3 linked regions of the Oryctolagus cuniculus genome follow. The protein of the gene in region 1 interacts with the protein of each later gene in a biochemical or structural test. Links are inferred from orthologs where the notes say so. Each region holds a gene or a part of one and is shown in the gene's direction. Other genes may lie near its edges.

The links.
Region 2: the proteins of JUN (region 1) and RUNX1 form a complex in vitro, tested with the Homo sapiens proteins (2 studies listed by BioGRID). The link is inferred for Oryctolagus cuniculus from reciprocal best matches to the Homo sapiens genes JUN and RUNX1.
Region 3: the proteins of JUN (region 1) and BATF3 form a complex in vitro, tested with the Homo sapiens proteins (2 studies listed by BioGRID and IntAct, with this or other methods). The link is inferred for Oryctolagus cuniculus from reciprocal best matches to the Homo sapiens genes JUN and BATF3.

What each region holds. Positions count from the first base shown.
Region 1 is NC_091438.1:114,258,705-114,261,669, forward strand, and holds JUN (transcription factor Jun), read left to right. Parts: upstream 1-1,301; coding exon 1,302-2,315; 3' UTR 2,316-2,416; downstream 2,417-2,965. UniProt on the Homo sapiens protein: Transcription factor that recognizes and binds to the AP-1 consensus motif 5'-TGA[GC]TCA-3'.
Region 2 is NC_091435.1:10,277,027-10,280,178, forward strand, and holds part of RUNX1 (runt-related transcription factor 1), read left to right. Parts: intron 1-550; exon of another isoform or gene 551-1,062; coding exon 1,063-1,535; 3' UTR 1,536-3,152.
Region 3 is NC_091444.1:27,153,789-27,157,537, reverse strand, and holds the start of BATF3 (basic leucine zipper transcriptional factor ATF-like 3), read left to right. Parts: upstream 1-1,384; 5' UTR 1,385-1,609; coding exon 1,610-1,687; intron 1,688-3,749. UniProt on the Homo sapiens protein: AP-1 family transcription factor that controls the differentiation of CD8(+) thymic conventional dendritic cells in the immune system.

The sequences.
Region 1 (2,965 bases):
CCGTCAGCGGCTGCGAGCGTCCGGCCGCCCGCCCGCCCGCTCGCTCGCTCGCGGCGGCCACCGTCACTAGACAGTCAAACCCCAAGACGTCAGCCCACAATGCACCGGGCGGGCCGGGAAAGACGGGCCGGGAGGGGACCGGGAAGAGAGGGGCTAGAGGCGCGCGGAGGGGGAGGGGGAGAGGAGGAGAAAGAAGGGCCCAACTGTAGGAGGGCAGCGGAGCATTACCTCATCCCGTGAGCCTCCGCGGGCCCGAAGAAGAATCTTCTAGGGTGGGGTCTCCATGGCGACGGGCGGGCCCGCCCCCCAGAGAGCGACGCGAGCCAATGGGAAGGCCTTGGGGTGACATCATGGGCTATTTTTAGGGGTTGACTGGTAGCAGATAAGTGTTGCGCTCGGGCTGGATAAGGGCTCAGAGTTGCACTGAGTGTGGCTGAAGCGGCGAGGCGGGAGTGGAGGTGCGCGGATTGAGGGAGACAGACACACAGACACAGTCCGCCCGCCCCGCCAGGACGCCCGTAGAGTGCGATCCGCACGGCTGCGTTGCTTTGCCAACTGCCCCGCGCTAGCGCCTGTGGATCCCGGGCTGGTGTTTGGGGGGAGCACCTGGAGAGCTGCTGCTTCTCCAGCCGCCCCCGGGGAGGAGAGCCCCACCGCACGAGCGCAGCTGACAGCCGCGGAGAGCGGCGACTGCAGCGGCCAAGAACTTTCCGAGCCGGGAGGACCGGGGACAAGTGGCCCGGAGTCCCGGAGCGAACTTTTGCAAACCTTTCCTGCGCTATTTGGGCTTGCCGCGGCGGCAGCAAAGAAAAGCAAGGCGGCGGAGAGAGGAGCGAAGAGGAGCGACGCGCGCGCGGCTCCGCTCGCCCCGGCCTCTGAACTTGACCGGCGCGAGCCGCTGCCGCCGGGAGCCCCCTGCCCCTCGCAGCGGAAGAGGGCACAGTCTCCGGGAGTCCGGGCGGCCGAGACCCGCCGCCACTGCGGGGCACCGCGCCGCGCCGCCGGGGAGCCTCCGAAGGGCGCGCAGTGAGTGACCGCGACTTTTCAAAGGCGGGCAGGCGCGCGCGAGCGGCCGAGGAGTGCGGGCGAGCGTCTGAACCCCGCCGCTCCCGGGAGCGGGGGCCGGTGAGCGGGGCGCCCAGGGGGAAGACAGCCCGCGGGTGCGCGCGCGCTCCGAAACTTTTCCTTTGCCAGAGGCCCGGGGAGGCGCGGGGTGCTCCCCGCCCGCCAGCGCGCTGTCGCGGCCCCGAAACTTGTGCGCGCAGCCCAAAGTAAGCCCACGTGAAGTGACGGACTGTTCTATGAGTGCAAAGATGGAAACGACCTTCTACGACGATGCCCTCAACGCCTCGTTCCTGCAGACCGAGAGCGGCGCCTACGGCTACAGTAACCCCAAGATCCTGAAACAGAGCATGACCCTGAACCTGGCCGACCCGGTGGGCAGCCTGAAGCCGCACCTCCGCGCCAAGAACTCGGACCTCCTCACCTCTCCCGACGTGGGGCTGCTCAAGCTGGCGTCGCCCGAGCTGGAGCGCCTCATCATCCAGTCCAGCAACGGGCACATCACCACCACGCCGACCCCCACCCAGTTCCTGTGCCCCAAGAACGTGACCGACGAGCAGGAGGGCTTCGCCGAGGGCTTCGTGCGCGCCCTGGCCGAGCTGCACAGCCAGAACACGCTGCCCAGCGTCACGTCCGCGGCGCAGCCGGTCAGCGGGGCGGGCATGGTGGCTCCGGCCGTGGCCTCGGTGGCGGGCGGCGGCGGCGGCAGCGGCGGCTTCAGCGCCGGCCTGCACAGCGAGCCGCCTGTCTACGCCAACCTCAGCAACTTCAACCCGAGCGCGCTGAGCAGCGGCGGCGGGGCGCCCTCCTACGGCGCGGCCGGCCTGGCCTTTCCCGCGCAGCCCCAGCAGCAACAGCCGCCGCCGCCGCCGCAGCCGCCGCACCACCTGCCCCAGCAGATCCCCGTGCAGCACCCGCGGCTGCAGGCGCTCAAGGAGGAGCCGCAGACCGTGCCCGAGATGCCCGGCGAGACGCCGCCCCTGTCCCCCATTGACATGGAGTCCCAGGAGCGGATCAAGGCGGAGAGGAAGCGCATGAGGAACCGCATCGCCGCCTCCAAGTGCCGGAAAAGGAAGCTGGAGAGGATCGCTCGGCTGGAGGAAAAAGTGAAAACCTTGAAAGCGCAGAACTCGGAGCTGGCGTCCACGGCCAACATGCTCAGGGAACAGGTGGCACAGCTGAAACAGAAAGTCATGAACCACGTTAACAGCGGGTGCCAACTCATGCTAACGCAGCAGTTGCAAACGTTCTGAGGACAGACTGTCGAGGGCTGAGGGGCGACGAAGAAAAAGAAAACAAAACCAACAGAGAGACAGTCTTGCGAACTTGACCGGTTGCGACAGCGAGAAAAAAATAAAAAAGACGCGTCCGAGGACTAAGGCCAAGGGTATCCAAGCCGGGCTGGGTTGCGTCCTGACGGCGCCCCCAGTGTGCACGAGTGGGAAGGACTTGGCGCGCGCTCCCCTTGGCGCGGAGCCAGGGAGCGGCCGCCTGCGGGCGGCCCCGCTCGGCGGAAGGGCTGTCCCCGCGCCATCACGACGGTAGACTTTTCTTTAACATTGACCAAGAACTGCATGGACCTAACATTCGATCTCATTCAGTATTAAAGGGGGGGAGGGGCGGGGTGACAAACTGCCATAGAGACTGTAGATCGCTTCTGTAGTACTCCTTAAGAACCCGACCGGGAGGGCTGGGGAGGGGCGGCGGGGGGCGGGGAGGGAGCCGGGGAGGGCCAGGCTGAGCCTGCAGATACACTCTTTCTGGCCTGCCTTCGTTAACCGTGTATGTACAGATATCTATTTTTTAATTTGATGAAAGCTGATTACTGTCAATAAACAGCTTCATGCCTTTGTAAGTTATTTCATGTTTGTTCGTTTGGGTGTCCTGCCCAGTGTTGTTTGTA
Region 2 (3,152 bases), on another chromosome or scaffold:
ATTAGATCAGTATTCCAGACATATCATATTATAGTACATGTACACTGCACACGTATCCATTCTGTTATATACTACATTCCTAGCGTTTATGTAATGCTCTGCTGTATCGTGTCATATGTCACATGCCTTATTAAATTACCTGATGTTCTCTTAATAGACTGTCACCCATGACTGTACTTCACCCCACCACCCTCCCCGTCTACCTGGCCCGTAGTCCCCTGGGTAGACCCCTGAGTAGTCCCCATCCTCCTGGACCATGGCATGCTGGGTAGTGCCCACCTTCCTGGGCCGTGGCATGCTGGGTAGTGCCCACCTTCCTGGACTGTCGCAATCTGGGTTGTCCCCACCTTCCTGGCCCGTGGCATGCTGGGTAGTCCCCAACTTCTTGGGCCGTGACATTCTGGGTAGTCCCCCACCTTCCCGGGCCCTGGCATGCTGGGTAGGCCCCTCTTCCTGGACCATGGCATTCTGGGTAGTCCCCACCTTCCCAGACCGTGGCACGTTGGGTAGTGCCTACCTTAAGGGCCTTGGCACACAGGGTAGTCCTCACCTTCCAGGGCCTTGGCATGCTGGGTAGCCCCTCTTCCTGGACCGTGGCATTCTGGGTAGTCTCCACCTTCCTGGGCCCTGGCACACTGGGTAGTCCCCACCTTCCCAGGCTGTGGCATGCTGGGTAGTTCCCACTTTCCTTGGCCCTGGCACACTGGGTAGCCCCCTCTTCCTGGACCGTGGCATTCTGGGTAGCCCCCTCTTCCTGGGCCCTGGCACACTGGGTAGCCCCTCTTCCTGGACCGTCTGGGTAGTCCCCCTCTTCCTGGGCCCTGGCACGCTGGGTAGTTCCCACTTTCCTTGGCCCTGGCATGCTGGGTAGTCCCCACCTTCCTGGACCGTGGCATTCTGGGTAGCCCCTCTTCCTGGACCACGGCATTCTGGGTAGCCCTCTCTTCCTGGGCCACGGCATGCTGGGTAGTCCCCACCTTCCCGGGCCCTGGCACGCTGGGTGGTTACCCGCCATGGCTTCCCCAGCCCGACTCACGCGCTGTTTTCTCGCCCGCCCTGCAGCGGCCCCCGACCTGACGTTCAGCGACCCGCGCCAGTTCCCCGCGCTGCCCTCCATCTCAGACCCTCGCATGCACTACCCCGGCGCCTTCACCTACTCCCCGACGCCCGTCACGTCGGGCATCGGCATCGGGATGTCGGCCATGAGCTCGGCCACGCGCTACCACACGTACCTGCCGCCGCCCTACCCCGGCTCGTCGCAGGCGCAGGGCGGCCCGTTCCAGGCCAGCTCGCCCTCCTACCACCTGTACTACGGCGCCTCGGCCGGCTCCTACCAGTTCTCCATGGTGGGCGGCGAGCGCTCGCCGCCGCGCATCCTGCCGCCCTGCACCAACGCCTCCACGGGCTCGGCGCTGCTCAACCCCAGCCTCCCGAACCAGAGCGACGTGGTGGAGGCCGAGGGCAGCCACAGCAACTCGCCCACCAACATGGCGCCCGCCGCGCGCCTGGAGGAGGCCGTGTGGCGGCCCTACTGAGCGGCCTGGCGCCGGAGCCCGGGCCCAGCCGCAGGAGGATCCCGGAGGGAAACTGTGAATGCTTCTGATTTAGCAATGCTGTGAATAAAAGAGAGATTTTATACCCTTGACTTCACTTTTTAGCCAAGTCGTTTCTTCCAAAGAGTGTGGAATCTGGGGGCCGGGGGCGGGGGAAGAGGGGTGCAACTCGTCCTGGTTGGCATCGAATCCTTATTGTGTTTCTTTTCCGCACCTTATAAATGGCAAGATGCGTATTTGCATTGGGGTGGTTTTTATGTTCATGTACACGAGATACAAATTTGAGCTTGCTTCTTTCTTGCTTTGACAATTGAAAGAACCATATGATTCCCTTTTCTGTAAGTTTTATTTAACTTTCGGACTTTTGGGTAGCTGTATCGTTTTTGAGAGACAGCTACAGCTTTGGGTCATTTTTTTTAACTACTGTATTCCCACAAGGAATCCCGAGATATTTATGTATCTTGATGTTCAGACATTTACTTACGTGTTGATACTTTTTTAATTATTTAAATGTACTTATATTAAGAAAAATATCAAGTACTACATTTTTTTTTGTTTTGTTTGTGATAGAAACCAGAGTTAAACATGTCATATTGAAGAAGGCTGGGGGAAAAAAAAAAAAGGATGGCTAATGTGATCACTTGGTTATCTAGAAATATTGTTTACATTAAACTCCCTTTTATGTTAATCAAACAAGTTGGTAGCTAATGCAGCAATGTTTTTAATAGGATTTTTAGACACTGAGGGTCACTCCAAGGATCAGAAGTATGGAATTTTCTGGTAAGCTCTACAAAGGGTCTGATGTTTGGCTCCTTCCCTTCAAACGGGGAAGGTCAAATCTGGCCCCAGAGGGTTCAGGCAGGTGCCAGTGATTATACTCCTGGGGAGGATTTGATTTCTGTCCAGGGGTTTGCTCACTCCGTGGCCTCCTGTGATTTCTGACATGCTTTGTAACAGAACACATCCCAGGAGGAGCGCTATTTACATAGGAGCCAAAGTAGTGTATATAGGGATTTCTTAACTGCTCAGTTCTGGGGTAGCAAGAAAACAGTCCTCTTTGGACCAGTACCTGTTGATTGACATAGAACAAAATTTGTGGCCGGCCACCTGTGGTGGCAGAGGAAGGGTCCAGACCAGCTGCCTTTGAAGGCTGAAGCCTCCGAGGGTGGACCCAGAGGCCTGCAGGAGCCAGTCCTCCTGCGCCCACATCAGCGCTGAGTCATGAGGCAGACGGCACAGGCCCTCACCCTGTGCTGCTCACGCGCCAGCCTCTCTCTGTCGCTTCCCCCAGGCTGAGGCTTTGCCGCATGGGCTGTGCGCTGTTAGCCGTAGCACGCCCGTGGCTGCAATCCAAATGTTATCGATGTCACTGTAAATTGTATGGCACTGTTTACTAGAGGGTTTGGTCAGAATGCAGTTGTTGTACAACTCGTAAATTCTAACTGCTGACGCTGACGAAGGTGTGCTTGAGATGATCTGGTGGTTATTTAATGTACCTCTTAAATTAGTGAGATGATTTCAGGTCAACTCTGAAGAGTATTTGAAAGCAGGACTTCAGAACAGTGTTTGATTTTTATTTTATAAATTTAAGCATTCAAA
Region 3 (3,749 bases), on another chromosome or scaffold:
CTGTCTTCTCTGAGTCCGTGTAATTTTTCCAGAATTAGAGATCTCAGCTGACCTCCCGCAATAGCTTTATCGAGCACCTGAGATAATGTGGTGCGCTGTGCTGGGTACATCGTGTGCACCTGTTCGAGGTGCTGGCCTGCGCGGGGTGCGACACAGGGATCTGAAAGAGTATTCCCCCCCCCGCCCCCAGTCCCCGTCTGCCCTGCGCCCTCTCGCCTCTTCCCTACCGCCCAGCTCCCCTGCTCTCCCGGACTTCCCACTGGCTTTCCTGCTGCTCTGAAGGCTTTGAAGACGAGTCTTAAATCCTGGCCGACAGTCACGTGCCCTGGCCTGGGAATCAGAATTTCTCGTGCCCCATCCCCCCCGCTGCCCACAAACCTGAAGGCCTCAGCGACTACACTGGGAAGGCATTTGTGACCTGCCCACCCGCCCACTCGGAGTCGCGGCTCGCTTCCCTTCCCAGCGCTGACTCCTCGCAGACCTCAAGCCGGTAACCGCTCGTTCTTTATTTGCTGGAACCACGTTCAACACTTATTAAGTGGCAGACAGGTTGGGGGTGGGGGGTGCAATACGCCCTGCCTTTGCCCTGTCCCCGCTGCGGCATGGGCGTGTGGCAGCAACCACACATCTTAAACCTACAGGCAGGGCACCTGCCGCTCCAATCTTGAACAAGGAAACGGTTCTGGTCCATCTGACTTCAGGATGATGGGGCCACAGTCCTGATCCGGTCGCCAGAGACGTTGTCCAACGTGTGGGATTCGCTCCCTGGGACGGCCGTCACTGTTCCCGTCCAGGACAGTGGCCCCTGCCCACGCTCCGGCTCACGGAATCCACGCTCGGGGCCGCCCCGCCTCGCTCCTTCCCGCAGCCCGGCAGGACCGGGAACAGAAAGGGCAGGTGCTCCCCGCAGAAAGGCCCGGGAACGCCCGCGCTCTGGGCGCGCGGCGCGACGCGTGAGGCTGCCGCCCCTCCCCGCGCCTGCGCCTCCTGGGCTGAGGACCGAGTGACGGTGGCGACCCAAAGGCCGAGTGCCCGGAGAGAGCCCCCAAAGCCCGACTCCCGCCGGGGCTGGGGGGCGGCAGGGAGGCGTAGGCAATGCGCAGACAAAACCACCACCCCCGACCACCCAGCTGCGTTTCTCACCCCGAGTGCCCCCAAGGCTGTGCCTCCCGACCCCCACCCACCCCAGCGTCGCCTCCCGCGGGTGGGCGTCGCGTTCCCTCCTCGGTTTCCGAGCCGCCACGTGACTTCGGGGCCCCAGCGAAAAGCCGCGCCTGAGGTGGGATTGGGGACCCCGAGGCGCAGCAGAGGGCGGGGAGAGGAGGAAACGGGGCGGAGGTGGGAGAAGGAGGCGGGGCGCACTTGGGGACGGGAAGGACCGCGGGCCGCGACCCGGGGGTGGGGAGCCCGGGCGGACGCGCGGCGCCGGCGAGCCGGGAGAGCGGGAAGCCCGCGGGGGCGGGGCGCAAGCCGACGGCCAGGTGCGGGCGAGGCGATGCGGGCGGTCGGAGGGCGCTCGTAGCCCGGGCCCCGCGTGCAGGGCGCCGCGGGCCGGGCCGCGCCTCCACCGGGCTGCGCGCGGGGCGGGCCGGCTGCACCAGCGCCCGGCATGTCGCAGGGGCTCCCGGCCGCTGGCGGCGTCCTGCAGAGGAGCGTCGCGGCGCCGGGGCATCAGCAGCAGCCGCAGGTAGTGGGCGAGAGACTCTGGGAGGGCCGCGGGGGCTCGCGGGTGGAGGGCGCTGCCGGCGCCAGAGACGAGTGGGACTAGGGGCGTGGGGGCGATGGCCCGGGGGTCCCGGCGTGCGCTTCGGCCGCGCCTGGGAGGGCTCCGAGTCCTCCGAGAGTGGAAAGGCCGCAGGGAGCGGACGTCCACTGTGGCAGGGCACTGCCCGCGCATCCTGGCACGTGGGGTCCACGCTGCCCCAGGGCCGTCGGTCCGGGCGCCGCCGAAGGCCACCACCCCGCAGCCGGCGTTTCCGGAGGGGCCCTTCAACCCAAAGGGGCGGCTCGTCCCCAGCCACTCCCAACACCCACCCTCCTCTGGCGGCTGCTGGAATGGGGAACGCGGTACGGGTCAGCCTGGGGGTGTGGGGCGGGGGCCGCGGCGGGGAGACTCCACCCCCAGCTCTGGTAGAACCCCCTCGTCCCCCTACCCCCCCTGCCGGCTCCCAGTCGGTCCTCCGCGCCGTCCCCAGCAGCACTTAGAGCTGTGCACGCAGAAAACTGGGACTAGGCTGCCGGCGGGGACGGCCCCTCGGAGCCTTAGCGCCCAGCTCCGCTTGGCGGCGGTTGGGGCTGGTTCTCGCGCTCTCTCCCCGGTGTGTGTCCGGCGCCTTTGGGCCTCGGCATCGCCACCCAGGCTGAGCAGCCTCGGCAATTCGCTTAATCTCTCCGTGCCTCGGTTTCCCCATTTGTGAAATGAGTAGAATAACGTCGACCTCCCAGGATTTTTTGTGAAAACTGAGTGAGACGTGCTTCATCATATAGGAACATCTCAAAATTGTACTCCCCTCTTTCTGCCTTAAGTAGTTCTGCCGGGCGGGCAGGTGTGACACGCATCCCTGATAGGTAATAAATCCAGTTTAGCGTGTCAGCTCCCAGAGGCATGATTTAGTGAAAAGCACTGTGAAGATTCAATTAAAAACAGCAGCCTCGGTTAGGGCAGGTAGCTTCAGGAGAGCAGGCTGCGTGCCCACGGGAGCTTCAGGATAGAATCTCGCTGTGTCCGGTGCCAGCCCCCAGCGCCAGGCTGTTGGCCGAAGGCAGCGGGGAGCACCAACATCTGTTCAGGAATTGTGTCCCCACCGCATAGGCAGTGCCTAGCACACCTGCAGGTGCTCCGAAAGAATGAATGAATCACAGTCGGGAACGGAAAACTCAGAGAAGTTCGGTCATTTACTCCAGGCCATCTGACAGTAAGAGACAAAGCCAGGATCCTTGACGGTCTGCGTGTCTTTAGCAAGACTTCTTGGCCTCTCTACAAGATTACCTTGTTACACCTGTCTCTATTCTATTATAATGTAAACTATTTATTCTTCTCCTTTTATATCTTTATATTTTTGCATATGCTGGGACTTCTTTCCTACTGGAAGTTGGGGAGATGATATGTGCCTGTCTTATTTGGAATGCAAGGCCAGATAAGATAACTTAAAATATCCATTAGTTTGTGTTATTTGCTTTCCATGAATAATTGAGTAGCTTTCTGTGTTTGCAACCCCACTAACCTCTTGGTTTTTAGACTCTTTAGAAAGAAGGTTTGTGTGTGTGTGTGTGTGTGTGTGTGTGTGTTTCCCTTGATATCTTCTCACTGGGCTCTGGAAAGCAAATACTGCTCTTCTTTTCCATGATTTCTGTAACTGGCTGCAGAGTTTTTGTGCAGTAGCTCCGTTTTTCGGTCTCCCTGTTTCACGATTCCCCCTTGAAGGAGTTGACTAAGTTTGGCTCAGATCTCGTGTGAAGCTAAGAGTTTTCAGGACACATCATAACTTTGCTTTCTGATTCACTGTAACCTCTGAAGCAATGTCAGCCACACATTGTTCAAATGAGCACGTTGCCAGGGCACTTCAGATCGCTTGGCGTGTTGGTGGCGTCACGTGTTTGCCGTCAGGTGCGAGTGTAAGCGCGGCCTGCAGCCACTCTCCCGAGGACCTGCTCGGCCTGGCCGCGTGAGGGCTGGCGTCCAGCAAGCTCCACACAGCTATGCCCCTAGCTTTCCCAGTCTGCCCCGGCAGCACTGACACCACAGCTCT